Linked DNA regions of Macaca fascicularis. The protein of the gene in region 1 interacts with the protein of each later gene in a pairwise test. Links are inferred from orthologs where the notes say so. Each region holds a gene or a part of one and is shown on either strand. Other genes may lie near its edges. The genes, in order: TRIM54, FAM161A, TSHZ3, FAM110A, ARHGEF5, OTUB2 and KLHL38.

Evidence for each region.
Region 2: the proteins of TRIM54 (region 1) and FAM161A interact in binary tests that used the Homo sapiens proteins (3 or more experiments, as listed by UniProt). The two-hybrid records come from large-scale screens. The link is inferred for Macaca fascicularis from reciprocal best matches to the Homo sapiens genes TRIM54 and FAM161A.
Region 3: the proteins of TRIM54 (region 1) and TSHZ3 interact in binary tests that used the Homo sapiens proteins (3 or more experiments, as listed by UniProt). The two-hybrid records come from large-scale screens. The link is inferred for Macaca fascicularis from reciprocal best matches to the Homo sapiens genes TRIM54 and TSHZ3.
Region 4: the proteins of TRIM54 (region 1) and FAM110A interact in binary tests that used the Homo sapiens proteins (3 or more experiments, as listed by UniProt). The two-hybrid records come from large-scale screens. The link is inferred for Macaca fascicularis from reciprocal best matches to the Homo sapiens genes TRIM54 and FAM110A.
Region 5: the proteins of TRIM54 (region 1) and ARHGEF5 interact in binary tests that used the Homo sapiens proteins (3 or more experiments, as listed by UniProt). The two-hybrid records come from large-scale screens. The link is inferred for Macaca fascicularis from reciprocal best matches to the Homo sapiens genes TRIM54 and ARHGEF5.
Region 6: the proteins of TRIM54 (region 1) and OTUB2 interact in binary tests that used the Homo sapiens proteins (3 or more experiments, as listed by UniProt). The two-hybrid records come from large-scale screens. The link is inferred for Macaca fascicularis from reciprocal best matches to the Homo sapiens genes TRIM54 and OTUB2.
Region 7: the proteins of TRIM54 (region 1) and KLHL38 interact in binary tests that used the Homo sapiens proteins (3 or more experiments, as listed by UniProt). The two-hybrid records come from large-scale screens. The link is inferred for Macaca fascicularis from reciprocal best matches to the Homo sapiens genes TRIM54 and KLHL38.

What each region holds. Positions count from the first base shown.
Region 1 is NC_088387.1:94,913,950-94,917,588, forward strand, and holds part of TRIM54 (tripartite motif-containing protein 54), read right to left. Parts: intron 1,270-3,639; coding exon 1,174-1,269; intron 644-1,173; coding exon 410-643; intron 149-409; coding exon 126-148; intron 15-125; coding exon 1-14. UniProt on the Homo sapiens protein: May bind and stabilize microtubules during myotubes formation.
Region 2 is NC_088387.1:60,065,056-60,069,207, reverse strand, and holds the start of FAM161A (protein FAM161A), read right to left. Parts: upstream 2,922-4,152; 5' UTR 2,903-2,921; coding exon 2,720-2,902; exon of another isoform or gene 1-2,719. UniProt on the Homo sapiens protein: Involved in ciliogenesis.
Region 3 is NC_088393.1:38,616,052-38,620,490, forward strand, and holds the start of TSHZ3 (teashirt homolog 3), read right to left. Parts: upstream 2,862-4,439; 5' UTR 2,721-2,861; coding exon 2,681-2,720; intron 1-2,680. Other genes in the region: uncharacterized protein, read left to right, coding at 2,862-3,977. UniProt on the Homo sapiens protein: Transcriptional regulator involved in developmental processes. Functions in association with APBB1, SET and HDAC factors as a transcriptional repressor, that inhibits the expression of CASP4.
Region 4 is NC_088384.1:86,552,252-86,556,569, reverse strand, and holds the start of FAM110A (protein FAM110A), read left to right. Parts: upstream 1-1,395; 5' UTR 1,396-1,632; intron 1,633-4,318.
Region 5 is NC_088377.1:186,023,176-186,026,814, reverse strand, and holds part of ARHGEF5 (rho guanine nucleotide exchange factor 5), read right to left. Parts: coding exon 3,515-3,639; intron 2,073-3,514; coding exon 2,002-2,072; intron 416-2,001; coding exon 311-415; intron 1-310. UniProt on the Homo sapiens protein: Guanine nucleotide exchange factor which activates Rho GTPases. Strongly activates RHOA. Also strongly activates RHOB, weakly activates RHOC and RHOG and shows no effect on RHOD, RHOV, RHOQ or RAC1.
Region 6 is NC_088381.1:162,041,019-162,045,189, reverse strand, and holds the start of OTUB2 (ubiquitin thioesterase OTUB2), read right to left. Parts: upstream 2,815-4,171; 5' UTR 2,617-2,814; coding exon 2,614-2,616; intron 1-2,613. UniProt on the Homo sapiens protein: Hydrolase that can remove conjugated ubiquitin from proteins in vitro and may therefore play an important regulatory role at the level of protein turnover by preventing degradation.
Region 7 is NC_088382.1:133,286,609-133,290,791, forward strand, and holds the start of KLHL38 (kelch-like protein 38), read right to left. Parts: upstream 2,937-4,183; 5' UTR 2,807-2,936; coding exon 2,721-2,806; intron 2,065-2,720; coding exon 714-2,064; intron 1-713.

The DNA.
Region 1 (3,639 bases):
ACATGGCCCCGACCCTGCGGTGGCCACACGGACTCAGCTGGCAATGCCCCAGCACCCTCAAGCCCCGCCCCCAGCCAGTGGAGCAGCCCAGCCCCCTCCTTTCCCTTCCCGCTGTGCCTACTCACTTATTGATCAGCTCCTTGGCCTGCTGCAGGGAAGAAAAGGAGGGTGAGAGTAAGCACCGGGCCAACCCGGGCAAAGTCCCATTTCTGAGTCTCACCACAGTCCTGTGGGGTAGGTGGGAAGGCACATCCCAATCGTTAAGTAGAAAATGAACTCAGAGGGGGTGACTTGCCCACGGTCGTAGTGGCAAACAGGTGCAAGAGACAAGACTTGAACCTGGGTCTCCAGGTACCAAGGCCCCGACTCTAGCCACTGTGCGGCACTGCTACCCTCCCCTAGGGCCCACCTGGAGGTAGAGCGCCATCTGTGGCTCTTCCATGGACTGAATGGCGGACTCCACCAGCTTAGAGGAGGCCTCCAGGTGGTCGCCATACTGACGGATGAGGCCGCGGACGCGCTGCAGCTTCTCCTCTTGCTCCCGGGCCAGCGCCTGCAGCAGCTCGCCCTTGCGCTCCTCCAGCACTGCGCACAGGCTCTCAAACCTCTGGTTTAACAACTGCTTCTGCCTCCGGCTATTGTCCTAAAAGATGGGGAGCAAGGATGAGGGAAGGCGTGGCTGAGACCCGGTGGCTGGGAAAGCACAGGATACTCACAGAGAACCAACACAGAAAGTGACCCACCCATAGTGACACTGTGCGTTAGTGGCTGAGCCAGAATCCAGCCCAGATCTTTTCCATAATAAAAACACAATACTTTAAAGTAGCTTCACTGAGTGTTGTCTATATCCCTAGCCCTGGTTTTTATTTGCATTATTCCATATAATTCTCAAAAAGAACCCATGAGGTAGCTGGTGTACCATTTATCATCATCACTGTTTTATGAGGTTAAACAAAACCAAAGCACAGAGAAGTTAAATAATTGGATTAAAGTTTTGCGGAAAAGCTGGAATGAGCACCCAGCAGCCTGGCAAAAGCACCTCCCACCACTCCCAGGACCCCAGAAACTTTTGGACCAGTTTGGCCAGAGGTCAGAGAGGAGCAGTTCTCTTGGGAGCCCGGGGTCCGCAGGCCAGCCAGTTGCTGTTCCCCCTGCCCTCCAGCCCAGGCTCACCTCAATGGTCTGGCACACCTCCTCCATCTGCGTGATGACTGCTTGCACACGGTCATTGCCTGCCACTAGCATCGCGATGCCATCGCTGAGCTCACTCTGATACACACACAGGTTAGCACTTAGAGCTGGGACCTCACCTAGAGCTATACCCCTCACCCCAGCCAGGGTTGCCTAGGAGAGGGCTGGCCCCTCCACCCCACCCCCCATGAGGGCATCTACAGCAATCTAGAAGGTTTGAACCATCAAAAGGTACAAAAGCACATTCTAGGGATTCTGGAAGGAGGTGGAGAGAAGCCCTCCACCACTAAGTGGGGAAGGAACAGACAGTCTCCAAACATCCACCAGATAGTAGGCACTGGGCTAGATGCTTTATCTGTAGATTCGTTTCCTGCATAAATTCTGAGAAATTCTTCACGATTATCCATCTGCATAATATTGCCTTTTCTCTATTCTCTTTATCCTCTCATTCTGGGAATCTGATTAGACCTGTTAGACCTTCTCACTCTCAGCCTTCTCATCTCCTAGAACTGCACATTCTGTTTTTCTTTTAGTCCTCTCATGCTATTCACTAGTTCTGTTTTCAGACAAATCTATCATTTAATTCACCTGTTGAGTTTTTTTTTTTTTTGAGACGAATTCTTGCTGTCACCCAGGCTGGAGTGCAGTTGCGTGATCTCAGCTCACTGCAAGCTCCGCCTCCTGGGTTCTCGCCATTCTCCTGCCTCAGCCTCCAGAGTAGCTAGGACTACAGGCACCCGCCACCACACCCGGCTGATTTTTTGTATTTTTAGTAGAGACAGGGTTTCACCGTGTTAGCCAGAATGGTCTTGATCTCCTGACCTTGTGATTCGCCTGCCTCAGCCACCCAAAGTGCTGGAATTACAGGTGTGAGCCACTTCGCCCGGCCGAATTTTTTTTTTTGTAAGAGACAGTCTCACTCTGTCACTCAGGCTGGAGTGCAGTAGTATGATCATTGTTCACTGGATCCTCGAACTCCTGCACTCAGGCGATCCTCCTGCTTCAGCCTCCCGAGTAGCTGGGATTACAGGCACATGACACCACTCCCAACTAATTACAACAAAAAAATTTTTTAGGCCGGGTGCAGTGGCTCACACCTATAATCTCAGCACTATGGGAGGCCAACACGAGGTCAGGAGATCAAGACCATCCTGGCTAACACAGTGAAAACCCGTCTCTACTAAAAATATAAAAAATTAGCCAGGTGTGGTGGTGGACACCTGTAGTCCCAGCTACTCCAGAGGCTGAGGCAGGAGAATGGTGTGAACCTAGGAGGCGGAGCTTGCAGTGAGCCGAGATCCTGCCACTGCACTCCAGCCTGGATGACAGAGTGAGACTTCCGTCTCAAAAAAAAAAAAAAATTTTTTTAGAGATGGAGGTCTCACTGTCACCCAGGCTAGTCTCAAACTCCAGGCCTTATCCTCCTGCCTCAGCCTCCCTAGTCACTGGGTTTACAGGTTCCAGCCACCATGCCCAGCCATCTGTTAAATGTTCTATTTTATATATATATAATATATATAATATATTTTATATATGTTATATATATTTTATATATATATATATTTGAGATAAGGTCTCACTCTGTCTCCCAGGCTGGAGTGCAGTGGCTCAATCTCAGCTCACTGCATCCTCGACCTTCCAGGCTCAGGTGATCCTCCCACCTCAGCCTCCCAGGTAGCTGGGACTACAGGTGCATGCCACCACGTCCAGCTAATTTTTTGCATTTTTTTTGTAGACGGGGTTTCAACATTTCCCCAGGCTGGTCTCCAGTTCCTGGGCTCAGGTGATCCTCCCACCTCAGCCTCCCAAAGTGTCGGGATTACTGGCGTGAGCCACCACACCCAGCTACATGGTTGTTTTTTGGTATTCTATTATTGTTTGGTTTTTTAAATTTTTCATCTTGTTTTAAAAAGCATTTGATTCATAGTGACTTCCAATTATTTAATAATTCCAATATCTCAGTTCCTTTTGGGGGGTGTCCTAAATCTGTAATTTTTATGTCTGCTGACTTCACTCATGGATTACGTTTCTCTGTGCACCTTCAATTGTGAGCCAATATTTTGTTGATATTAATTAATCTAGGGAATACCTACAGGCCTAAACTGAGCATATTCTCCTCCAGGCAGTATTTGCATTTGCCTCTGTTGAAAGCCAGGTGGCGCAATTTACTGCTTTAGCTCCTAGGATCCTTGTTTAACCAGCAGTCTCCGGAACTTTTTGCCGTTGCCCAGGCTGGAGTGCAATGACGTTATCTCAGCTCACTGCAACCTCCACTTCCCAGGTTCAAGCGATTCTCCTGCCTCAGCCTCCTGAGTAGCTGGGATTACAGGGCCTGCAACCACGCCCAGCTAATTTTTGGTATCTTTGGTAGAGACAGGGTTTCACCACGTTGGCCAGGCTGGTCTCAAACTCCTGACCTAGTGATCTGCCCGCCTCAGCCTCCCAAAG
Region 2 (4,152 bases), about 35 Mb from region 1:
AAGAGGCCTATTGTGATGGGTGGTTCTCAAATCAATCTTGTGGGTTAGGTATAATATTTGACTTTACTACATTTTATAGATGATAAGGTTAAGGCAAATTAACCTTTAGAAATCAAGATGGAGCCACCGCGCCCGGCCACTGCACTCCAGCCTGGGCGACAGAGCGAGACTCCGTCTCAAAAAAAAAAAAAAAAAGAAATCAAGATGGAGACCCAAGCCAACCAGTGAAGAAATCAGAGCCTCTTTCCTGCACTCTTCCTGCCTTTTTAATGCCTCTTCCCCAAGCCCTGTGCGCCTGGCTATCAGACCCACTGTGGCAGCTTACCCAGCTTTACTTTTAGATCCCTCATGTGTGGTGGTCTCAGAACAGTATCAGATTCTTAAGACTTGGATTCCTTCTGTTTTTTGTAGGATCCTGTCCTTTCCATACTAGATTATTGTATAAACTGATCCCTCCTAAGGTAATAACAGTTTCTAACACAAATTTGCAGTTGCCGGGCGCGGTGGCTCAAGCCTGTAATCCCAGCACTTTGGGAGGCCGAGACGGGCGGATCACGAGGTCAGGAGATCGAGACCATCCTGGCTAACACCGTGAAACCCCGTCTCTACTAAAAATACAAAAAATTAGCCGGGCGAGGTGGCGGGCGCCTGTAGTCCCAGCTACTCCGGAGGCTGAGGCAGGAGAATGGCGTAAACCCGGGAGGCGGAGCTTGCAGTGAGCTGAGATCCGGCCACTGCACTCCAGCCCGGGCTACAGAGCAATACTCCGTCTCAAAAAAAAAAAAAAAAAAAAAAAAAAATTTGTAGTTTAACAGGGCACTTTGGAAGCATATCTGCAACTTAGAAGTGACTGACTCCTTTCCCACAGCAAGCCAAAGTAGTTTAATCTTTGGGAAGGCACACAAATGACACTCCCACTGGCATCTCGTTTATATAGATTACTCTTTTATATAGATTGCTCTTTAGAGGAGACACACATTCTTTCATTTGGTTCTCATAGAGCTGAGATGGGAAAAAGAGACAATTATTATAGTTATTTTACAGATGAGGAAACCGAGATTTAAAGAAAGTGTGTCCTAACACCACCTAGGGAGTGGCAGGGAATGGATCCTAATATGTAACTCTTAAATAGTTTTTCTCCATCACGCTGCCTTGTTGCCTACTGAAAACTGTGTTGAGGGGTAGGTTATAATGAACAAAATCAGTCCTAGCACTCTGATCCTGGTTCACATTCAGGGTCTCAGTCTACCTTACTCTGGATAACTTCAAGTTGTTTACTGGAGAAAGACTGGTCACAAAAGGTGTTGCTAAAGATGCTCTCATTAACAATTTTATGGTAGATTAAAGAGATTAGAATTCCAAAATATCCAGGGATTTCAATTAGTCCTCAATCATAAGTTTTGTGTTTGAGAAGCTTTGGACACATGGTATTAAGAAACTTTTTCTGGCCGGGCGCGGTGGCTCAAGCCTGTAATCCCAGCACTTTGGGAGGCCGAGACGGGCGGATCACGAGGTCGGGAGATCGAGACCATCCTGGCTAACACGGTGAAACCCCGTCTCTACTAAAAAATACAAAAAACTAGCCGGGCGAGGTGGCGGGCGCCTGTAGTCCCAGCTACTCGGGAGGCTGAGGCAGGAGAATGGCGTAAACCCGGGAGGCGGAGCTTGCAGTGAGCTGAGATCCGGCCACTGCACTCCAGCCTGGGCGGCAGAGCGAGACTCCGTCTCAAAAAAAAAAAAAAAAAAAGAAACTTTTTCTATCTGCAGATTGCTAGTTTAAATTCAAGATTCCTTTTTTTTTTTTTTTTTTTTTTTTTTTTTTTTTGAGACTGGGTCTGAGATCTCAGCTCACTGCAACCCTCGCCTCCCAAATTCAAGCAATTCTCCTGCCTCAGTCTTGCGAGTAACTGGGATTACAGGCGCGCATCACCATGCCCGGCTAAATTTTGTATTTTTAGTAAAGACGGGGTTTCACCATGTTGGTCAGGCTGGTCTCGAACTCCCGACCTCGTAATCTGCCTGCCTCGGCATCCCAAAGTGCTGGGATTACAGGCACGAGCCACCGCGCCCAGCCAAGATTCCCATCTTTTAAGTGAATAGAGCAGATGGCAGACCCTGCCCTCCACCTGCTAGACTGGTGTCCACAACAGATTTAACACTGAAAACTGATCAGTGAAAAGGCTGTCTCGCTGTACCCTAAGGAGCCGTTTAGGAAACACTGAAACCTCAGTGATTTGCTTATCTGTATCCGTGTCTGATTTAGCCAGTGAACACGTGATGGTTTTAAACACGCCTCTCTCCAGCATTATGTTGAGATCCACTTATAACCAAGATCTTAAGGTAATAACGAAACACACCTGACAGAACAGTTTTCCTCAAATTATAAAATCTATCTATCTATCCATCCATTCCCGAGATGCTAGAGAGTAAAGAGTAAAATTCTATACTTTGCACTCGCCAGAAACAGAGTAACATAAATGTTGTCTAGGAAACTTTTACAACTGACTCTCTGGTGAAAATTAAAACACTTTTCAACGCCTCGATTTAGAGTATTTTTCGTGAGCGTAGAGAAGGGGCTGGGCCAGGACCACCAAGTAGGGAGTATGTGCACAGGGTCCCGCGTTTACCAGCCTGCCCTCAGCTGGGCGGGGACCCGGACAGCCCTCAGCCAGCACCCAGCCCGTGCGAGGTCCCAACCCACGTCCCGCCCCAGTATTACCGACGCCTCAGCGGACTGCGCCACTTTCTCCTCCTCTTCGTCCTCCAAGATCGCCTCTGCTGCCGCCAGGGCCTGTAAGGGGTCTTCGCGTTCGTACTGGGCGACCCGCGCTCTAGTGATGGGATTTACAGGAGTCTGGAGACTGGAGGCCACCAGCTTTGCCGCTCGGTGGGAGGCGGCCATCGCCCCGCCTCCGGGACCTGAGCGCCTGCGCTGGCCCGGGGCGGGAAAGCTGGTGCGGTCCCTGGCGACCCGGGGGCTCCTAGCTAGGGAGCCGGTTGCTATGGGCGCCGTAACTGGGGACACTACAGGAGCCGCCAGGGACCAAAAGTCACACAAACTCCTCTCAGGCTGCCAGAGACCCGAGTCGGGTGCTTACTGGATCATGGCGGTCAGTACCGAGTCTGTTTGCTGGTTCCAAAGGTTGGCAGGCTGAACAGGGCACTTTTCCTCTCCTTTGCGTTTAACCGCCTGAACGCAGACTTCTCACATTATACAATGAAACAACTGCTTTTGTGAAGAAAAGAGCGCTTTTTTATTAACTGCAATAATATGTTAGAAGGAGACGGTTGATGGAGGAGACGGCGGCGGAGGAGGAAAGCAGGGCGTATTACTGGGTGGCGGCCTCTGAAGAGTGGCAAGGTTGGCGTCGCGCTACCTAACATGTCTCCCGCGGGAGCCAGCGTGGGAAGGAGGGAGGTGCATTCTACTCTGATTTACTTGAGGGCTAGTAGGAATCCACCAATCAGAAGGAGGCTCCCGGTTGTCCCTCTCGCGTTTTTCTTGGCCTGACCAATAAAAGCCCAGAGTTGGGTGGTGCCTGACCCTCCCACTAATGAGTGAGGGTGCAGGTAGTGTAAACCTGGCGTTTGCTTTGGGTTCATCAGCTTGAGAGTGACAGGATTGAACGGCGCGAGTGCCCAAGAGTCATCACAGACACACCCATCTCCCTCATCCGTATCTTCTCTTTCCACTCGGGATTTGGACGCATCAAATGGCGCCTTCCCTCTGCACCACGTGGTCGTAAGAGAAGCCAAACCTCAAAATAGCGGACGTGGTGCAGTCTCAGGCATCTGCTCCATAAGCCCCTGCTTACTGAGGCCGAGGCTGCCGCTCCCTATCTACTCCCTCCCTATCTACCCCTCTCTATCCTTTGCCCTCCTCCCGCTCCCCAGCCCTAGGACAGGCCCCCTCCGGTCAGTATTTTCCTCGTTATGCGTTGCACATCGTCGAGAATCCATCTCTAAGGTCTGAGCCCTTACCAAACCTTTGTTCTCCTGTATGGGTGTGAGCACCAGCAAAGTCTCCCACGTCCCCACTTCCTTCAGGCTGCTCTTTGTTTTGGCTAAACAGTTCCTTCCAGTGCTGGAACAGATGCTGGCTGGGTTCTAAGCAGAAGCCAGAGCTAGAACCATGGGATATGGACCGCCAGG
Region 3 (4,439 bases), on another chromosome or scaffold:
ACACTAATGAAGCTGGCAAAACAACTTTTCTTTTTTTATGGCTGAGCGGACCTTTCAGTTTGGAGGGGAAAAAAAATTCTCGAGTATTCTCAAGGTTGCTGGGGACTGGATTTCCAGTTACCAATCAGCAGACATCTTTCTTTTTCCCACTCTCTCTCTCTCTATCAGTACAAAGCAATCAATTTGTCATCACTCCCAGTATGCCACAAAAGCTGGCATGAACCTTATAACTTGCAGCTGGGAGAACTGAAAAAGAGGAGAAAAAAAATGGGAAGTTTCTTGTCCATCCAAACAAACAAACCAACCAAAAAAACCTCTGTGCATACTTATCACCAGCCTAAATGTGGAGTTTTTTTTTTTTTTTTTTTTCTCCACTCTTCTTAAATAAGCAGCTCTTCAGTCAGCCTCCACCCCCTCCTCCACATGTCCATTAGGCAGAGGCATTCTGATAAAGTAAATCCAAAACCCGAGTATGGGAAAGAAAGAAAGCACTCATGCTGCCAGCTTCTGATTGACCATTAAGCTATTGATGAATGTGCCTGTCAGGAGAGAGACAATTAAATCAAATATGAAACAAAGTCGTTTTGACGGGTCATTTTGATAGAGCAAAACCATTCTTCCATCTCCTATTAGTCCTGCAGTCAAGTTTTTTATATAATGAATTTTTCTTAACTGACCTGAGATTTCCTGGCTGGCTTTCTTTTTTAATAATAAAAAAAAAAAGTGCAGAAAGGTTAGTGAACAGGTTGCTCTAAAAATAAATAAATAAATAAAGCCAACAGCAGGTTCCCTCCTCCTCTGATATTTTTCTGGAGGAAGCTATCAAATATGAGTCTCAGATTGGCAGGGTGCAACTGAAGAGATGAACTAGAGAGAGAGTTCTGAACCAAATGTAAAGATGTAATCACATATGGTTCATTGGATGGAGGCACACACATACCTTAAAATGTGTATCCAAAAAGGAAAGAAAAAAAAAATTTTCAAAGACTGGAAGAAGCCCAAGACATTCCTACTACTCAACTTTGTGAAGGATTCCTCCAAAGTTTCAGAGTTTATTTTGGGTAGATAAGCTCATTGCTTGAGCCTGGAATTTAAAGTAGAAGGTGGGACGGGCAAGAAGCAAGCTCCAGGAGGTTAACTAGGGAGGCGGCAAGCTCCCTACAATCACTCCTGGAATTTTCAAACTTTCTAAATTTGGGCAACACAGAGGACAGAGAACAAAACCTGCATCCTAAGCCCCAAACCAACCCTGTTTTCTTCTGAGATTTTCTGAAGACACTGGCAGGCAAGTACATTTCTGGAAGAAGAGAGAATTATCATTCCTTCTCTGTGACCCCGTGTAAGGGGTCTGGAGTGCAGAGTGCAGCCAACGTGTGAGGTCCCCTGGCAGTGCCGGCTGGCGTGATGGAAATTATGGGCACGATGGGTACAACGCCTTCATCCAAGATGGGCACCAGCCAATGCCCTGACCCTACTCTCTGCCCTTTCCTCTAACATCAAAAGAGAAGTAAAAGAAAGGAAGAGGAAACAGAAGAAAGGAAGCCCCACTTAACCCTCCCCTTCAGGGAGCATCTGAACTCTGCACATCTGAGTGTTACTCATATCAAAATACATCACGTCCATATGTGGTCCTCTCGGCAATTCGCCCCAAATCCCAAAGTTGCACTGACAGGCCCCTCCTGACGTCACAGAGCTTGGCCTCACTATTCCAAGTGATTTATTGATGTTTATTGGGAATGAATAGATCAAAGGCAGCAGCATGACGGGCGATCAATCAGTCATCAAATCAAGGATGGCAACGGGCCAGAAACCCTTCTTCCAGGCAACATGCCCCCAACCGACATTATTGCAAAATAATGTTATGTGTGTGGTTTTTGTTTTGTTTTCAGTGATGCGTTTTCCAGAAAAGAAAAGAAAAAAAATCGGCTCAGTCTTAACAGGAGTTGACACTCCCGGTTGAAGAAAGAAAAAAAAAAAAAAAAAAAAAGGAGGAACAAAAAAGTACTCACACACGTCCCAGAACTAAGTGCTATGCGGAGATGAGGGTGGGAGCAGCAGTACAAGGAGGGGGTGGGGGCAAGGAAACACAAACAGGGGAGAAGGAAACGCCAGCATCTAACATGGACTTGACAGTCATCTGACAATACCCAGACCCTGTGCGCTCCGGTTTCCACCGCTGTGCCCAGTTTGGGCCCAAGAAATGAGGAATCAATCGGATTAGCACTAAGGTGGCCAAGGGGACTGGCTCGTTCACTCGCTCGCGCTCCCTGGCTCGGCGGACACCGGGCAGTCTCCCGCCGGTCGGCCGCCCGCAGGACGCGGAAGGTGTCCCGGGGAACTCAGGTGACCCCGCCCGCCCCCCACAGAAAAAGCCAGACCGGGGTTGCTTCCCATCCCCTCTGGAGCCGGAGAGCTCAGGAGGCAGGGACCTGGCGCGGCTCAGCGCGCCCAGCAAGCGGCTCCCCAAGTGGGTGCGAGAGGGAAGAGGGCAGAGCGCGGCGGGGCGTCCGGGGGGCGCCCGGTACCCGAGGCGGGCGCACGCACCCAAACAGGAGAGCTGCACCCGGAGTTACTCAGCGCGGGCAGAGGAGCGGGGCGAGGAGCGGGGTCGCGCCCGCTGGAGGCGCGGGGCGAGCGGAGGAAGAGGAGGAGAGCAGAAGGAAGGGGAAGCGGCTCGTACCTGCTGCGCGCCGGGGCGCCTGCTGCTTCCTCCTCGGCATGATGCTTCTCCGGCGACTGCCACTGCCGCCGCCGCCGCCGCCGCTGCCGGGCTGAGGACAGGGAGGGAGGGGCGGCGGGCCCGCGGGGGGGCGAGGCGGGCCTGCTCTCAGCCTCCCCCCCGGAGAGCGGCCGCCCGCAGGATGCTGCTGCGCCCAGGCTCTCCGCGTCCCCCCCGCGCCGCGCTCCGCCGCGAACCCCGAACGTGCGGAGGGAAGAAGGAGGGCGGGCGAGGGAGGCTCGGGGAGGGAGGAGCGCGGGGGGGAGGAGGAGGCAGAGGAGGAGGAGGTGGAGGAGGAGGAGGAGGACCGCGCTGCCGGCGGAATGGGAAGTTTGACAAATCGCTCCAGAGGCCGGAGGAGGAGGGGGCGGGGAGGAGCGGCGGCCCTGCCCCCCCCCGCCCCGTCCCCAGACGAGGTGCGCGGGGTTCGGGGCTGGGGGGCGGGGAGAGGGGGAGAGGGCGGGCAGAGGGGTGGGAGGAGGAGCGCGGGAGCGGCCCGGGCCGGTACTGCCCCGGCCCCCGCCCCCAGGCCGGGGGTCACGGCATCCGGGGGGACGCGCAGCCGCCGCCGCGGCCTGGGGCTCGGCGGTCCAGTCTTCTGCCCGCGGCGCGGCTGGAGCGGCGGCGTCGGCAACAGGCAAGCTTAAAGGAAAAGGAGATGATCGTGTCACTCGCCCGCTCGCGGGGGCGCCGCGCCCCCACCCCCCGGCCCCAGGCCCGCCTGGGACCCCCGCCCCGCCAGCAAAAGGGGTGCCGCCCCTCCGCCTCCGCCCCGTGCGCACACGCAGGGGCGCGGCGCCAGCCCCGCCGAGCCCGTCCCGGGGCGCCCGTTACCCCCCACCCCTATTCCCACCCAGCGTTCGTCCCCGGCCACCCCCCAGTTGCCCCGCCCGGCCCGCACTCCTCTCCACCCGCGGACTGCGGAGCCCCCAGCGCTGGCCGGGGCTGGCGCCCCCCGGGGATGCCAGAGCCCACAGGCGGGCCCCCTCCAGGGAGGAGGCGGGCGCGGGCCGGGGCGGGTGGCGGCAGCCTTCAGACCCCGCGCCACCCAGCTCCTCCCCCAGGACCCGCCGCTGCCACTTCCCCCAATTTTTTTTCCCCGGACAAACTTTCCTGGGCCCGTCCCGGGGGTCGATGTGGGAGGGGGTTCCTTCAAGTTTCCTCTCCTGACTTTGGGATGATCAGGGTCTCTCCACTCAGCCCCTCGCCCCCTGGGAGCCGAGCCGCGCCCCCCATCCACGGCGCGGGCCGATCCTAGGGCGGGACGGGGGCGGGAGAAGGAAATCGGGCTCCCCTGCCCATCCCCCCCCGGGGCTCACCCCCGAGAGCCGGGGGGGCCGCCGCGCCCTGTCCCGCGCCCGGCCTGCCGGCGCTGCTGGACTAGAGGGATTGATTATTGATTGGTGATCGGGGTCGCTGAGGCTCCGGGAGGGCCCGGCCGGCGGTCCGCGGGGAGGAGGAGCTGGCCGGGCGGCGTGGGCGGTAGGGCTACGCGGGCTCACTTACGGGCGGCGGCGAGGGCGCGGGTGGGCCTGAGCTCATGCGGGCGACCCCCGGGCGGCGGCGGCGGAGCGGGAGCCGGAGCCGGAGCGGCGCGGGCGGCGGCGCATCGATGCGCTGCGGGCTCGATTGTGTCTCCCTGGGCCAGCTCTCAGGCCGGGAATGGGGCGGCCGCGGCGGGGCCGGCTCCGGGCGCTGCCGGGCGGCGGCCGCTGGAGCG
Region 4 (4,318 bases), on another chromosome or scaffold:
ACCCTGTCTCTAAAAAACATAAATAAATCAATATTTAATACTTAGCATTTCCCCCTATCTTTAAATCTCTTTTAGCTACTTCACTTTTATTTTTATTTTTTTGAGATGATCTGTTGCCCAGGTTGGGGTGCAGTGGCATGATCTCAGCTCACTGCATCCCCCACATCCCAGGTTCAATCTATTCTCCTGCCTCATCCTCCCGAGTAGCTGGGATTACAGGCTTGTAGCACCACGCCTGGGTAATTTTTGTATTTTTAGTAGAGACAAGGTTTCACTATGTTGGCCAGGCTGGTCTTCAACTCCTGACTTCAGGTGATTTGATCGCCTCAGCCTCCCAAAGTGCTGGGATTACAGGCGTGAGCCACTGCTCCTGGTGGCTGCTTCATTTTTAATGGCTGCATAATATTCCTCATCAGAAAGTGGGAATAATTAGGCTAGTCGGCGTGGCTCATGCCTGTAATTCTAGAACTTTGGAAGGCTGAGTTGGTAGGATTACTTGAGTCCAGGAGTTTAAGACCAGTCTGGGCAACATGGCAAAACCCTGTCTCTACAAAAAATACAGAAAATACCGGGTGTGGTAGTGCACACCTGTAGTCCCAGCTACTCGGGAGGCTGAGGTGGGAAGATTGCTTGACCCCAGGAGACTGAGGCTGCTGTAAGCTGAGATCCCACCACTGCACTCCAGCCAGGGTGACTCCATCTCAAAAAAAAAAAAAAAGGAAAGAAAAAAAGAAAGTGTTAATAATTAAAAGTACTTTTAGAGGGTTATGTCATAAGCCTTGACAAGAGTTGTTCTGTAAAGCTACCTGGCATGTAAAACGCTCAATTAAGTTAGTTAGCTCTTCCACAGGATGGAATTATATAACCAACCCCTTTCAAGAGGCATTTAAGTTGTTTCCATTATTTTGTCATGATGAATAAGGCTGAGCAATATTAATCTTTGCTCATATCTTTGGTCATTTCCTTTGTAAATTTCAGGACTGCTGGGTGTGCACATTTTAAAATTAACTCACTCATCATCATGCAGTTAGGAGAACAGAGAAAGGAAGGGGCTGTGCGGGGTCACATAGGGAGTTAGCGTCAAAGTCAGGACTAGGAATCAACCAGGGTCCTCTAACTGGAGCTCTTCCAGCTGGTGCCCTAGAGGAAGTCCCAGCTGCAAGCCGGAGGGAGGAGGAAGGGAAAGAACCAGGCGCCGGGTCTGAAGCGGCGGCAGGAAGAAGGTGGGGCCGGTTGGGAGGTGGGGGCGGAGCTGCTGAGCCGCGCCGCTCCTTCAGGCTGCAGAAGCTAAGCGGTCGCCTGGCAACCCCGGCGGCGCGCCGTTCGAACGGAAGCGAGGAACCAATCAGGAAGTCCGGGTCGAACCATTCTGGAGTGAAGGGGGGCGGGGTGCTCACTTCCCCTTTCTCGGCGCTCGAGGGACTTTCCCTGCGGTGGGGGCCTTCGACAGTCAGGGCCACCCGCTCAGCTCGACTGCGGAGGGCAGTTCCGAAGGGGACCCCAAAGGTGCCCACGCGGGGCTGGGGCCTCCTGGGCGCCGTTGGGAGCGGTCACTACCAGCCCGGGTCCGAGCTGTCAGCCTCTCCGAAGACTGCGCGGAAGGAGCCGGGACACGCCTAGGACGAGCTCCAGGTGAGGGCGCGGGTGGTTCCGGGTGCGACCCGGGGTCTGGGGGACTCTGTTCCCCGAGCGCCTGCTGTCTGCTTTCTCCCCGCGTCGTACCTGCGTGTCATTTCACAGATGAGGACTCTGAGGTTCAGAGAGGCAAGTGTCCTGGCTCGGCGAGCTCTGGCAGAGAATCCAGTTCAAGGCTTTCCGCCCTACCTCGCAGCCCCTAGTCTAGTCGTATCTAGACTTGCCTTGAGAGGTACAGACGGGCAACTAGTAGTCATTTTCCCAGCATTTTATCGGCAGGGACACGGCCTATGGACCCCTGGCTGGATCACCTATCCCTGCGCCCCACACTGTCCTCGGGATACCCCTTTTGGGCGTCTTTCTTCTCCGCAGTCCGGGGTTGGACTCGGCTCATTTGGCGCCCTTCTGCCTACTGGGCTCTGAACTCCAGAGCTCCCCCTCTCAGAGGACCACTCTTTAGCCATCGGATGGCACTGACATTTCTGGGCTGGATATAGGGGCAGCAGATTCTCCAGCCCCCAGAGTCGCTGCTGGCCTCTTGGGAATCTTCCCCGGTCTGGGGAAGGGAATAAAGCCAGTCCCTGAACCAAAGCCACTAGTCACCAGAGACTTTGGAATTGGGGGTGGGGCCGGGATTCCCTCAGGAGGAGCATCTGATCTAGGCCAGATCCTGCTCTGTCTCCTGGGGACACCCCTTGCCCCCTAGGTTGCTATTGTCAGTCTCCTTTTGTAGGTGGGGAAACTGAGGTTCTAAGAAGTTAAGCCTCTTGTCGAAGTCCCAGTCAGACAATGCAGTGGTTATTAGCTCCTGGTCCCTCTGGCTTCAATCTTAGAATCCTTGACACCCAGAGTCATGCATTTTGAGAGTCTTGAATCTCTTCATAAGGGAGTTACATATCTCCTCTCCTCTGGAGCCTCCCCCTGGCTTTGGGGACAGGATCTCCGAACACTCAGAAAACAAGCCTTTCCTTTATTCTTTCAACAAATATTATTGACTTCATAAGCCTTGCTCTTGTTCTTGCATGTTTTGTTTTTCTCAGTAGCATTTACTCCACCTTATGTCCTATATATTTTACTTATTAGCAAATTTATCACCTTCTCCCACTGTGATGCAAGGCAGGGGCTGAGGCAATTGAGGTCCTCACCACCAGTGCAAAATTTAGGGATGCCCTGAACCTCAGTAATCAAGATAACTGAAACTAATGTTCATGGACCATTTGTATGTTCTGCAGGCAGGAGGTTAACTCACACAGCCTTCATGAAGCACAGTCCTCCCATCTCATTCTCTCTCTCTCTCTCTATATATATGTGTGTGTGTATGTGTGTGTGTGTATATATATATGCATATTTATAAATCGTGAAACCACTGCCCTGTCCCTGACTTGCTCTGTGACATTGAGTAAGTTTCTTCAGTCTCTGGGCTGAGCTAAGAAGTCATGATGGTGCACTCAGGCCTGGGCAGAGGGCGGTCTAGGATAGGAAGCAGACTTGGTTGTGGATTACAAATACATCCCCCAGACTCAGCTGTCCCACTTCTAAGCAAAATGATGTAGATGCAGTGATGCTGCAGTGTGGTTTGTAGGCAGAAATGAGACACACTCTAAGTGGCCACCAGTAGGGGATGATGGGAAATTCTACTGTGCAGCTGGGAAAAAGGACATGCTCTTTATGTACTGATGTGGCACCAAGAACAAAACATACTATTGAGCAAAAAGAACAAGATGAAAATGGTACACATAGCATCATGACGCCATATGTGTAACAATGGAGACAGAATATATATTCATACTTGCCTGCATCTGCCTAAAGTCTCTCAGGAAGGATAAGCAACTGTCTGGTCACGATGGTGCCTGCAGGGAGGAGAAATGGGGACAGGGTGGGAGGAGGTTGTTGTTGTTTTTTTTTTTTAAACTTCACTATCTTTACCGTTTTTGAATTTTGAGTTGTGTGCATGTATCATCTATTTTAAAAATTTAAAAATTAAGGCCAGGTGCGGTGGCTCACGCCTGTAATCTCAGCACTTTGGGAGGCCAAGGCGGGTGGATCACTTGAGGTCAGGAGTTTCAGACCAGCCTGGCCAACGTGGTGAAACCTCATCTTTACTAAAAAATACAAAAATTAGCCGGATGTGGTGGCACGAGCCTATAATCCCAGCTACTTGGGAGGCTGAGGCAGGAGAATCACTTAAACCTGGGAGGTGGAGGTTGCGGTGATCCCGGTGCACTCCAGCCTGGGTGACAACAGGAAAACTCTGTCTAAAAAATAAAATTACATATATATATGTGTGTGTGTGTGTATGTATGTATGTGTGTGTGTATATATATATATATATATATATATATATATGCATGTTTATAAATCATGAGACCACTGCCCTGTCCCTGACTTGCTCTGTGACACTAAGTTTCTTCAGTCTCTGGGCTGAGCTAAGAAGTCATGATGGTGTACTCAGGCCTGGGCAGAGGGCGGTCTAGGATAGGAAGTGGGCTTGGCTATGGATCTGCCTCCCACTCACCTTTCTAATCCTGCGTGCCAGGTCCTTCCCCAAGACCTTGCATGTGTTATCTCTCTCATTCCGTCCCCACTGCAAAATCCTTTGTCCCCATTTTGCAACCTCAAGTGCAAACCTAGAAGATCAACTTGGTAGAGGTGAGCATATCAGTGGGCCTAGATGTCCACATCC
Region 5 (3,639 bases), on another chromosome or scaffold:
ACTTGGACACAGACACAGGAAGGCAGAGGCAGAGACTAGAGAGATCCTGCCATAAGCCAAGGAACAGCTGGGGCAACCAGACCAGAAAAGGTATGGAAGGATCCTCCCTAGAGGTTTCAAAAGGTGCATGGCTCTGCCCACACCTTGATTTGGGACTTCTTGCCTCCAGAACTGTGAAAGAATGCATTTCTGTTGCCATAGGCCACCCAGTCCATGGTACTTTGTTACGGCAGCTGCGGGAAGTGAACACATTCCCAGCGCTGCCCTTCCTGCAGTGCCTGGCCTGCTGCTCACACGTCCTCCCGCTTACCATCATTGCTCTGCTGAGTCACCATCACCACGTCGGCTTTCTCCAGTGCCAACTCGTCGTTCTCTCGGGGCTTGTAGGCTCGAAGGCACTGTACCTGGGGGGAGTCTTTGGAAGAGAAGAGTGTGAAGAAAGGTTAGGAGACGCAGGGGATTGGAACACAGACAGGGACTTGCAGGGGGTGGCGTGGGAGGACTTGAGATAGAGACGGGTTTGGGCTGTTGAAAGTCACAGACAAAAGAGGAAATTTGAAAATGGTTAATAAAGAAATAGACATACCAGAAATGAAATGGACCAAAAATTCCACTTCTCCAGAGGAGACGGGTTGAGAAATACATTGTGACCACCTTTAGTTCCTCATCTCGAACACCTGAGATCCAGCTAATGACCCATCTTCCCTCTGAAACCCTCCCTGACTCTAATCTTCAATGGGTTCTGAACTCTTAAGACTGCTTGTTCATGCCAAGGCATTTATCCCTTATTTAACTGCTACATGGACATGTTTTGCCTCTCCAACTGGATTATAAAATCTGAGTCTGTGTCTTATTGTTCATTTTCTTCCAGGAACCAGATGTGGAACCAAGAAAGACTTAACCAGTGGGGACCCAGGTCTGACCTAAGCAAGAGACTGAATGCCCTGGAGCTTCAGTTTCCTCATCTATCAGTGATCAAGATGGTTATTGATCAAGGTTGATCAGATGACTCTTGAGAACATTCAGGATTTCTCTATTTCTATGTTTCTGAGAACCAGGGGACATGTCCATAGAGCTGAAGCTCAAGAAAACAAGCCTCAGAGAATGCTTCACCTATCAGTATTCCATCGTATGTGGGTTTATGGCTCTTTTATGTTACCACACTGCCTTGATTCTCTTGTAAAACAAACGGAATACTGCATTACTATTTGCTTTCTCAAGATCCTCCCCATTGGCCATTCGCAAGGTCAAAATGAAGGAGGAAGAGTGCTCCTGCCCTCCTCACCCACTGGGGAACTGAAGCCAGCAGATGGAGCACACAGAGAGCAAGTTAGCGGAGCTCAGTTACTACACGGCTCTCCTACTTCATTCCCAGGGTTCCTTGTAGTTGTTTGTTCTTTTCAGTCACCAAAGGTCCAGTGTTGAGATCAGATTCTCTGTTTTTAAATTAGGAAATCTTTGCTGGAGGACAACTGTGGGGCTGGCATGAGAGGCATAAGAAGTCCAGTCTTGGTGTGAACGCAGACACATACAGAATATGTGTGCGCCTGCGGCTCCCCATGGGCACCCAGAAGCCTGGGGTAGGTGACCTCAGGTCACCCTCTTAGGAGAAGTGTGGTCAAGACAGATCTGGGGTGCTACCCTCCTGCACACCTCCCACCACCGTCAGGCTTTCTTCCCCTACCCTCACAAGACCTTCAAGCAGCTAAAATCTAGGCGAAGTAATGTCAGCTTAGACTTAAGGGGACAAATGTTTTTAAAAAGAGCAAACTATTGCCCAAGGAAGGGCGTGTATAGGGAAGGGGGACTGCCATGGTGACGAGCAGTTTTAGGCGATACGTTTCAGGCATTTAAGCTCTAGAGGCCAATCTTCCACCCTGACATTTTACAGAATATCAATAAATGGAAGCCTAGAGTTCCCACCCAGTCCTTTAAACCCCTGTATCCAAAGGTGACATCTGACCCTGCTTGCTTTTCTCTCCCTCTTAGACCCTCACTCACCATAACACTCCAGGAGGTCCAACTCTTCTCTTGGCATGGCCAAGGCTGAGATCCACCGAAGCTTTTCACTTCTGAGAAAACAAAGCAGGGTCATAGCGTCAACTGTGGGGGTGTAGCAGGAGGGCCAAGGATGGGGATGGCAAAAGACTGTGGGAAGGACTTATTAGTTCCACGACTTCTACCACAAAACTATATAGGACTCCTTTTGGTTGGAAACATGACACAATCTTGAACTATATGTGAATGTGTCTTGTCACACTTTACTTTTCCTCTTCTCTTTCCAGAATTATCCTCCTTAGGGCTTCTCATATCTTCCAAGTTGGGGCATAAAGTCTGTTAGTCATAAAGTCTATAGATTTTCTGTTTTGGAAATTGTGCTAAGTGAAGCGTCCATCTCAGTTTAGAGTCCCTCCACCATTTTGCATGATTCTTGATACTCCCTTGCCTATCTCCCTCCAACCAAATATCTCAGAGATGAGCATTGTTTCATAATAATAATTAGATCAGGGAGATATGTCTATTTTATTTGTTGTTGTTGCATAGTGTAATACAAGCCTAAGTTTGTAATCATTTGAAGGTTTTTACATTCTCTTTGCCTCTGCGCTCAGTTGTGCCTAGGTAACTGAGCCCAGACACTATTACTGTTCCAGAACACCGTTCAAAGCAGCAAACCAACAACATGCATCTGCATCTGATTATTTGACTTATGTGCTATTTCGCACACAAACTCCTATACTAGTCCTTCTGTTCAATAAATGAGAACAGGTGTTGTCGGTCCCACTCTGAAGTATCTTCCAAGGGACAAAACTGAAAAAGTGTCTACAACATAGGGATCCTCAAACACTTAGATATGTCAAACTTTTAAACGACTGTTCATATATCTTTTATAATAGGAATAACAGCTACAGGCTTTTATATGTTCATGATTGCAGGCACTGTGTTCCAGATTTTATAGGTCCTATTAATACTCTCAAAAGTGTATGTCTGTGTGAATGCATTTTATTTTATTATTATTGAAAACATGAGCAAATAAGCATTCTCAACACTATGGATCTCTGGTCAACAGAGGACTGGGTTGGAAGATGGGAGCACAGAAAGCGAAAGTCACCCGGCACTTGTCTTATTCACATCTGTGCGCACCAGCTGGGGCATAGAAGGGCTTCTGCCTCAGGCATGGAGGCAGGTGCCCACAGATATCAGTATTCCAATCCCTTGCTCACTCCATACCAGTCCTTCTCCTTTCTGATACCACACAGACCTGGTCCTTCTTGAGTAAAGAGTGTAAAATAGATGCTAGGCCTCGGTGGTGACTTTGTACCCTCTCCCACCGCAATCTCCTGCAAGTTATCCATTAGTTCCAGGCGTTTGGATTTCTCTATGGTGGTCCCCAGTCCAGAATGGGTTAAACGAGGCCGTGGCTGTTTTCTGGACACATTTTCTGTCTTGGTGCCACTTCTTTTCTAGGCTGCCCATCTTCCCCCATCCCCAACTCCTCTGCCCAGCCCCGTCTCACTGAGTCTCCGTGCTGAAGAGGAACTCGGCCTGGGCGCCCTGAGTGCTCTGCCGCAGAAAGAGTCGGAACAGGTTTTTGTGAGGTCCATGTAGCTTCATTTCACACTTCTCCCCCCGAATGGAGGA
Region 6 (4,171 bases), on another chromosome or scaffold:
AAAACCCAAACCCCATAGCACAAGTGAGGCCCTGCACAGAACATCCTGATCCCACCGAATTTTCCAGACTCAATTTCCCTGCCTCCCTCAATCTCCTTGCATCTTCAGAGGCTGTTTACCTTTCCCCATTCTTGACCATGCTTCAAAGCCTGATAGCCCACTTTCCCCCCGCACCCACCAGAAGGAATGAACCCTTCCCAAATCCTTCTTGAACACTCATATACATCCTTCAACTCAGCTCAAAAGACCTCCCCCAGCTCAAAAGACCTCCTCTGCAGAACCTTCCAACACCCCCACTCCCTCAGAGCATATTGACCCCTCACTGTGCTCCCAAAGTCCTTAGGCCTCTTAGGCCATGACCTGTAGCTCAGACACTGCTTGTGTCCAGCTGTCTTGGCCAGCAGGCAGTGAGGTCCTAGAGCGGGCGGGCACCTTGTCTTTCTCATTAGTGTCACAGTGCCCAGCACAGGCCTGACAAAGGCGCCCACTGGGGACCTGTTTGACAAATAACAGAACAAAGCACAATAGGCCCCTGTGGTTTTCCTGCTTATGTCTGATTCATTCATTCGCCAAACATGAAATGCACCTTGAGTGCATGAGACTCCTCGCTATTTGCACTCCCTGCCAGAGGCCTGGTCCTTGTCTCACCCCTACCTTCCCAAGGGGCTTTGTGTCTTCCACGGGGGGCCCTTCCTCAAGCTTAGCCCAGTGATGTAGAAACAGGAAAGCAAAGAAGATGCTGTATTTTCCAAGGATATTCCTTCTGTCACACACACACACTCACCACCATCCACACAATGCAGGTTCAACATAAAAACCCACCATGCAGTATAGGGCCCAGTATGGTCCCCACATGCAGTAGGTGCTCAATAAATGCCACGTGAAGGGAAGGGAACAGACAGACCCTGCACTGCCTCCACCCCTGTGATTCCCAGACAGACATCCTATTTTAGTGGGTTAATCACTTCATCCATTGCCAAGGCACTCAAGCCCCCGGTGAGGTGTGAGGGCTTTGGACCCCACCTGCCCTCTAACTTCCAGTCTCCTGAGTTAGGGCACATAGGGGGCAGAGTGAGCGGCCTCACTGCATGGCACAAAGAGCGGCTACCGCCTCTGCTGTGCTCTCAGCTGCCGAGTGGTGGCCAGAGGGCATGCCAGCCTCCAGCTCCCGGGTGGCTAAGCCCATCATTACCCCAGCTCCATCCCTCCCTGGTGGGTGATGCAGAAACACCTGGGCTGCCTTCCAGGAGCAGCTCAACCAGGTAAACCCTTGGGCACCAAGTGGAAGCAGGAAGCTGGTGCTTCCAGATGCCCCAGAGGCCCCCAGCTACGCCCCAAGCTGGCTTGGCAAGGACAGTCCCAGCTCGAGTGCCCTGGCTGCCTATGCCACACCCAGATCATGCCAGGCCATGACCAGGCTTTGACCCATGCCCCAGCCTGGCAGCATCCTGCTGCGGTGACCCATTTTCCTGCCCAGTCATAGGAGAGAGGAGGCTAAGCTTGAAGAACCAGGCATCTGTGCACACCCATTTCCAGGACTCTGTTGTCACAGGAAAAGCTCCAGCTAATCATCTCACATGGTTCTCACAGCAGCCCATTACAGATGTGCAAAACGGTGCTGAGGGGGAGAGTGGACCAACCAAAGCCTCTTTGCTTTCCAGGAGGTGGAAGTGAGACTTGAACCTGGGGCTGTGTGGCCCCGACTCAAGCCACTCAGCCCTCACTCCACAGGCTCCCCCCTGCTCAGGGCTGAAGGGTCTTAGGCAGCCATCCCACCCAGTCCCCTGCAGGATGCCTGACCCCATGGCAACCTGGAAGGTGAGCTGATGTAACACAAAGAGTACTGAACTGAGAGTCCAGAGGCCTGGGTTCAAGTCCCAGGACCACCACTATCAGTACCAGCCCTTCCCTGTCTGACCTCAGTTTCCCCACCTGCCCAAGCCCAGGGTTAGCCTGGCTCAGAGGGTCTCTGGGCCCCGTTCTGTGCAGACAGGACTCTCCATCAGGGATTCCTGAGTATTTTCTTTTCCCCGACCCCTAACTCATGTGCCTCACAACTTAAGGCAACCTCTCCACGTGGGTCCCGACTCCAAAAATGGAGACGGACTAGTCGCCCGCAGGGACAGACGATCTGGTCCCCTGTGCAACTCCTAGATCCCCTCGTGGGGTTGGGGCAGGGGCCAGGAGTGGGTTGGTCTTTGACGGCTGAGCCCTCGGGTGGGAGGGGCCGTGGACTGCTGACTGGGGGGCTACTTAACAAAGAGGAGGCGACCCATAGCGCTGCAGCCTCCCTGTCCCTGCTTCCGTCGAGGGCGCCCACCCAGCGCCGTCGAGGCGGCGCCCAGGGCCAACTGGGGCGGACACGCTGGGGGCGGGGACTCGGGGCCGAGCTGGACCTCCTCAGCTGCACGTCCACGGGGGACAGCGGGGCGCGACCTGGCCCCCAGTATCCGTCCGGACTCCGTATTTCAGGGGTTCGGAACGCGGCGGGGGTGGTCTGGGGGCTGAGCCTCGCGTCCAACCCCCGTCCCGCAGGTGCACCCGCTCCGACAGCGACCCCGCCCACCGCGCCCCCTGCCCGCTCCCCGTTCGCGATCCCCCACGATCACTGACCATAGTGACCGGAGCCGCCAGGCCAGGTCCCGCCCCAGCGAGGAGCGATCCGGTGCGGGAGTGCCGCGGGAGGCGCGGGCGGGCTCCGCCGCTGGTTCGGTGGCGGGGACCTCGAGGGCGTGGGGGCGGCGGAGAATACACCCGACCACTCCGCAAACCAAAGGTTAGACCTCCACTGTGTCCCAGGAAGACACACGCCCCGCAATTGACGTCTCAGGCGGGCAATCAGGAGCCGGGATGCAGGACGTCATAGAAAGTGGGTGGGACTTCACGCGCCTTCAGCCTATGCTTTAGGGACCATTTGACAGGATGCCTCCCCTTTTTAAAGACACAGAAAGCTTTTAACTAGCAGAGGAGTTAGCTCAACCCAGAAAGACAGGTCCTCGTTTGCAAAGGCTGAAGGGCTTTTGCGCAAACCTAAAATTGGAGTCTTCTGAAGGATTAGCTGGCCCTCATTAATTCATAAACAAGGTCACATAAGTATAGTTTGCACAAGATCAGAGGATAGGCGCTTAGGGAACACGTGTCCAATAACATTAAGTATGGCTTCTACATAATATTTTACCCTCTTCTAACTCATGAATCAGTAGGTTGCCACGCACCCAGTTAATGTTTGTTGAATGAATGAATGTCCAGGATCGTTGACTCTGTGGCTCTGGAATTGTAGGGATATCCGTGAACCATGTCTAGATGACTCATCTTGCCCACAAGCTCATTATTAATGGACATCAAAATAGGAATATTTATCATTCAAAGATTCATTCACCAGCCCTTGAGTCCTGGAGGAGCTGCTTTGGGTGTAGTAGGGAGAGTTTGTAGGGAAGGGGGGCTCAGTGCATTGCATGCATCCACTTCACAATATTAATATTTCCAGGAGTGTGTATTGAGCAATTCCCCTTCCTGCTGCTGCCCCGCCCCTCCCCCCCGCCACAACTCTTACTCTGTAAGTCCCAGGCACGAGGCTAGGCTCTGGGCATACAGACATCTGAGTCTTCCAAGCATGTATCATGACCTGGGTAGGGAGTGTGGGGTCAATGGAGGCTCAAGGAGCAGTAACAATAGCATCTAACTTTTTACAGTTATTTATACAGTTATGCAGAACACCTACTATGTATCAGGTGCTATCCTGAACCCTCCACATATACAGAAGTATCTTGCTTAATTTCCTCACAACTGGTTTATGGGGGTAGGTCCTGTTATTATTATCCCTATTTCACAGATGAGGAAACATTACAGAGAGTTTAAGTTCCTTGCGTAAGTCACATAGCACTCAAGTGGGATTCAGTCCCAGGCAGTGTGACTCCAGAGCTGGTTTCCAATTCACTCTGCACGTGACTACAGGGGCTGTGTTACCTGCCCCCACCCTGACCCCCGTTTGTTTTCAGGGGGTTTCTCCTCTTTGTTTTTTACAGCCAAGAAAGCCAGGGAGGTGACAGGAGCAGCCCAGTGCTGCTGAGCTAAGAAGTGGCCTGGCTGGGCTGGATCCCCAGACTTCTGACTCCCCAGCCAGTGCTCATTCCAAGGCATGTTATCTTCCCTCTGCGGAGGAATGACTGAG
Region 7 (4,183 bases), on another chromosome or scaffold:
AGGTTCCAGGGGATTTGGTCACAGAGGTGTGGACCAAGGCTTGGGAATCTTCTTTTAAGGCCTTACTGACTTGAGTTAGAAGCGTCTGCCAAATTCCTGTAGGACTTCACTATCTGGCATTCAATATTCTCTATAATAGCTTGAATTTTTAGATATGTATTTTTCTCCTCAAATGAAGATAAACTCTGTGCATAGAGATGGCATTTGATATCCTTAAACTCTTGCTGAAAATCCTTCTTGCCTCCCTCCCTTCCTCTCTTCTTTCCTTGCAAATGACAAGTGTTTATATGAGTGTACATGGGTGCACATGTGTGTGCATGTATGTATTTGTGTTCACGTGTATGTATAAATGTGTGCATGTATGTGCAGATATATGTGTGTATGTGTGCATGAATTGTATGTGTGTATGCATGTGCACATGTATGCTTGTTGGTATGCGCATACATGTGTGCATATGTGTACACATGTGCACATGTATGCATGTTGGTATGTGCATACATATGTGCATACGTGTATGTATGTATGCATGAATATACATTCGTGCATATATATGTGCGTGCATGTATACATATGTGTATTTGTGTATATGTATGTATGTACATGTGTGTGTGTTGGTGTATATGTGTGCATGTGCATGTGTGTGCATGCAGGTGTGGGTGTGTCCATGCACACATACTCATGCAGTTATGTGATGGGAAGAACCAGTCATTTACCTGGATAAGGCGCACAGGGTTCTGCATGATGTCCTCTCCTCCAAAGAGATAGAGTCTTTGGTCTTTCACAGCGACTGCGGGGTGGAGCACCCCCACGGGCATGCTGGCCATACTCTCCCAGACATTGCAGATGCTGTCATATCTTTCCATGGAGCCCATGAGCTCCTGCCCTTCTCCAATACCCCCGATGGAGAAGATGAAGTTCTTATGGGCAGTGCTTCTGTGGGAGTAGCGGGCCACCAGCATGGGCTCCCCCAGCCTCCACTGGTTGAGTTTGAGGGAGAAGATGTAGACGTTATGACTGACCAGACTCCTCCCTGAGCTGACAGCCATGCCCCCCAGCACGTAGACGCTGCGGTGCAAGGTGACAGCAGAGGCCTTGTACAGCCGTGTCGGGAGTTTGGCAAGGCTCTGCCATTGGCCAGTCTGTTTGCTATACAGTAGGACGTCCCTGGTGGTCTGCTGGCTGTCCTTCCTTCCGCCCAAGAGGATGAGGAAATCTTGGTAAGAGTTTCTTGGAGGGACATGCAATAGGAGTTTGCAGTCTGGGGCGCTGGTGCCACACAAAGAGAACATCTGTCTTTTGGCGGTCTCCAAGATGAGCTGGCATGCAGGCGAGGACTGCAGGAGGGCATCGTTGGCGATGAAGTGTTGGAAGAAGGCTGGGTGGATGTACTGCAGCCTGACCTGCTTGAACAGTTCCTGCATGTATCGCTTCCGGGCCTGGAGGTCATGCTTGATCCAAACCATGAGGGCCTCAAACACCTTTTCTTCCTCCCCACAGAGCCCATCGTCTCCCAGATAGTCTCTCAACTCCAAGGCACAGAGCTCCTTCAGGTCGGCTGATGCGGCCACCTCTGGGAAGGACGTCAGTGCCACCTCCCTGGCTTTCTTCTTGAGGGTCTCGCAGCTTAAGATTTCTGAGAGTCTGATCATGCCCAGGCAGTTGCTGGGGGCCAGCTGGCTCTGCAGGTATGAGGAGCAGGCCTCAAACAGCTTGGGGAACTGTAGCATGGAGGCGGCCTCCATTACGGGGAGGACATTGTCAGCATCGATGAGTGCCTCCCCCGTGTACACGTAGGAGACGATCTGGTCCAGGGTTGGGGGGTCAATGCCTTTCAGCTGCACTTTGGCTTCACTCTTCTCCCGGAAGCTGCTGCAGAACATAGCCCTGAAGTAGGGGCTGCTGGAGGCCAGCACGTTGCGGTGGCAGGGGATCTCCCGGGCACCGGCACAGATGCTCACATCAGTCAGGATCCTGCTTTGCCTTAAGCTGTTGAGCTGCCTCAACAAGTCAGAAGAGAAGTCATGATCTTTGAAGAGCACCCCATCTGGAGACTCCTCGTCCATCCTACAAAGAGGGAAGGAAGCCCCCAGAGTCAGCAAGAGTCAAGTCTTTCTCAGCTCAGGCGCTGGAGGGTTCAGCTGCGGGGACTGTAAGACCAGTGCTCCTATTCCATTCCCCATGATGTTTGTGGATGTCGCCACGGATATTGTGTAGGGAAGATTGGAAAGGAAGGCCACATACATCTCAGACCTGAGCTCTTTTGGGTTATGGTTATTTTCGAAAGTAATAGGCATATAGTATCTTCAGCTAATCTGAGAGAAACAACCAACCAAACAAACTAAAGTTGTTGGAAGTTACTCTATTATCAGAAGCTGAAATGTTAGTCTGAAGCAAGATAACAGTCCATGCATTTGGCCAGCAGAAGTTCCTGAGCCTTTTTCCAGATCGATGGCATATCTGTTATTGAGTAAACTTGTCTAAACATCTCTTTCTGGGTGTCAATCATTCCCCAAAGGTGACACTCTGGAGGTGTGGCCCTCTGGTCACTGGACAGAAATGAGGGAAGAAAATGGACCTTTGATACATATCTTTAAATATAACTTCATTGAGTCTTGTTTTAAAGATGGAATAAATAGAAGGAAAGACCAAACAATCCCCTGGTTTATTGGATGACACCTGGCTGTCTACCTGCAGAAGAAATAAGCATGAGGGATACTTACCTTGTTTTGCCGCGGTGACATCCACTGGTGCCTGGTCTGGCTTGTCCCCCCGGAGAGTTTCTACCTCTAGCTCTGAGGGAAACCATAAACTCCAGGCCTTTCTTTCAGTTGGCAAATGATTTGTCCTGGGAGATTTCTGGATTTGTTTATGCTGAAGGCACTTTCATAGTTTTCTAGAGCTTTGTGCAAGGACTGCTGGCCAAGGAGACAGTGTATACATTCCAGGGCTAAGAATAGTTGCATATGTACTTTCCACTGTTATGACATGTGACTTTCCAGTTGCCTTTTGCAGCAACCCGAGGGCCTGCAGGGCCCGCGCATGCCCACATGCCGTGTTTCCTTGGCAAGTGTTTACATCGGCAAAAATAGATTGGGAGGAGTGGCTTCTGTTAGAGAAGACTTTGCTGTCTGCTTGGAACCATCCCGAGTCCCCTGTCCTAAAAGTGCCTGGGAATTCTAGCTGTCTGTAAACAGGTTGCTGTGACCTGTGGAGAGTCACTGAAGATGGTTCTGGGCCACAGTGAAGGTGGCAGGTGGTCACAAGGGAAGCCGGAGCATGAGCCTGTGGGTGCTATTCAATGGATCCCTATTTCCCCCCATCTGCCTGGCAGGATTGCTGGGGAGAGCTGTGATTTCCTCCTCCAGGAGCCTAGGTGATGAAATCCATGACAAGAGTTGTTTTTTTTTTGTTGAGCACCCCAGGGTTTCCAGACTCATGAAGGCCCAGACCTTTGTCGGGTCTCCTTACTCGGGAGCCTCTGATTGACAGTTGCAAGGCCGAGCTCCTCCTGTCACGTCTGCCTCTCCCAGACACGTGCTGATTGCTCTTCAGCTGGCTTTTTATAGTTCAGACTTCCTTTTCTGTCTTACTTTTCCATTTTGTCTGGTCTGGCAGCTTGAGCTAGAGGCAGGAGGCAAGCCATATTGCTTTAGGGAGAGAGAGAAAGAAGACAAAGGGGGATGAGGAGGAAGAAGAAGCAGGGACAGAGGGAGGGAGAGAGAATAGAGGAGGAAGAGGAGGAGGAGGAAGAGAAGGAGGTAGAGAATTGGGGGAGGAATGAGGATAGTGATGTGGTAGGAGGCAGCTTTCAATAACAATCAGAATCACGAGAAAGAGTGAGGGGGACCTCAGGTCTGTCCTGCCCCTGCCTTCAGGGAGATTCGTGATTGTCCTAGCCACGAAAGGCAGGCAAGCCTGACTTCGTCTCCTACTCAAAATCTTGCTCAGACTAGTGCAATGGCTTCCCATGCATTTTTTTTTCTTTGCTCCTAGTGCTTCTCTCTCCAATACATCCACCCTGTCCCCTCTGGAGCAGCCCCTGGGAAGGCAACTCAGAATTTGCCAGTTCTCAGCATCAGGCCCTTCAGTGGCTCCCCATGTCCGCAGGACTCCTTAGCTGGAATCGGACTGGTGTCCTGTCTGCCTCTGGAACCACGTCTACTGCCACTCATGTGTAGTAGTT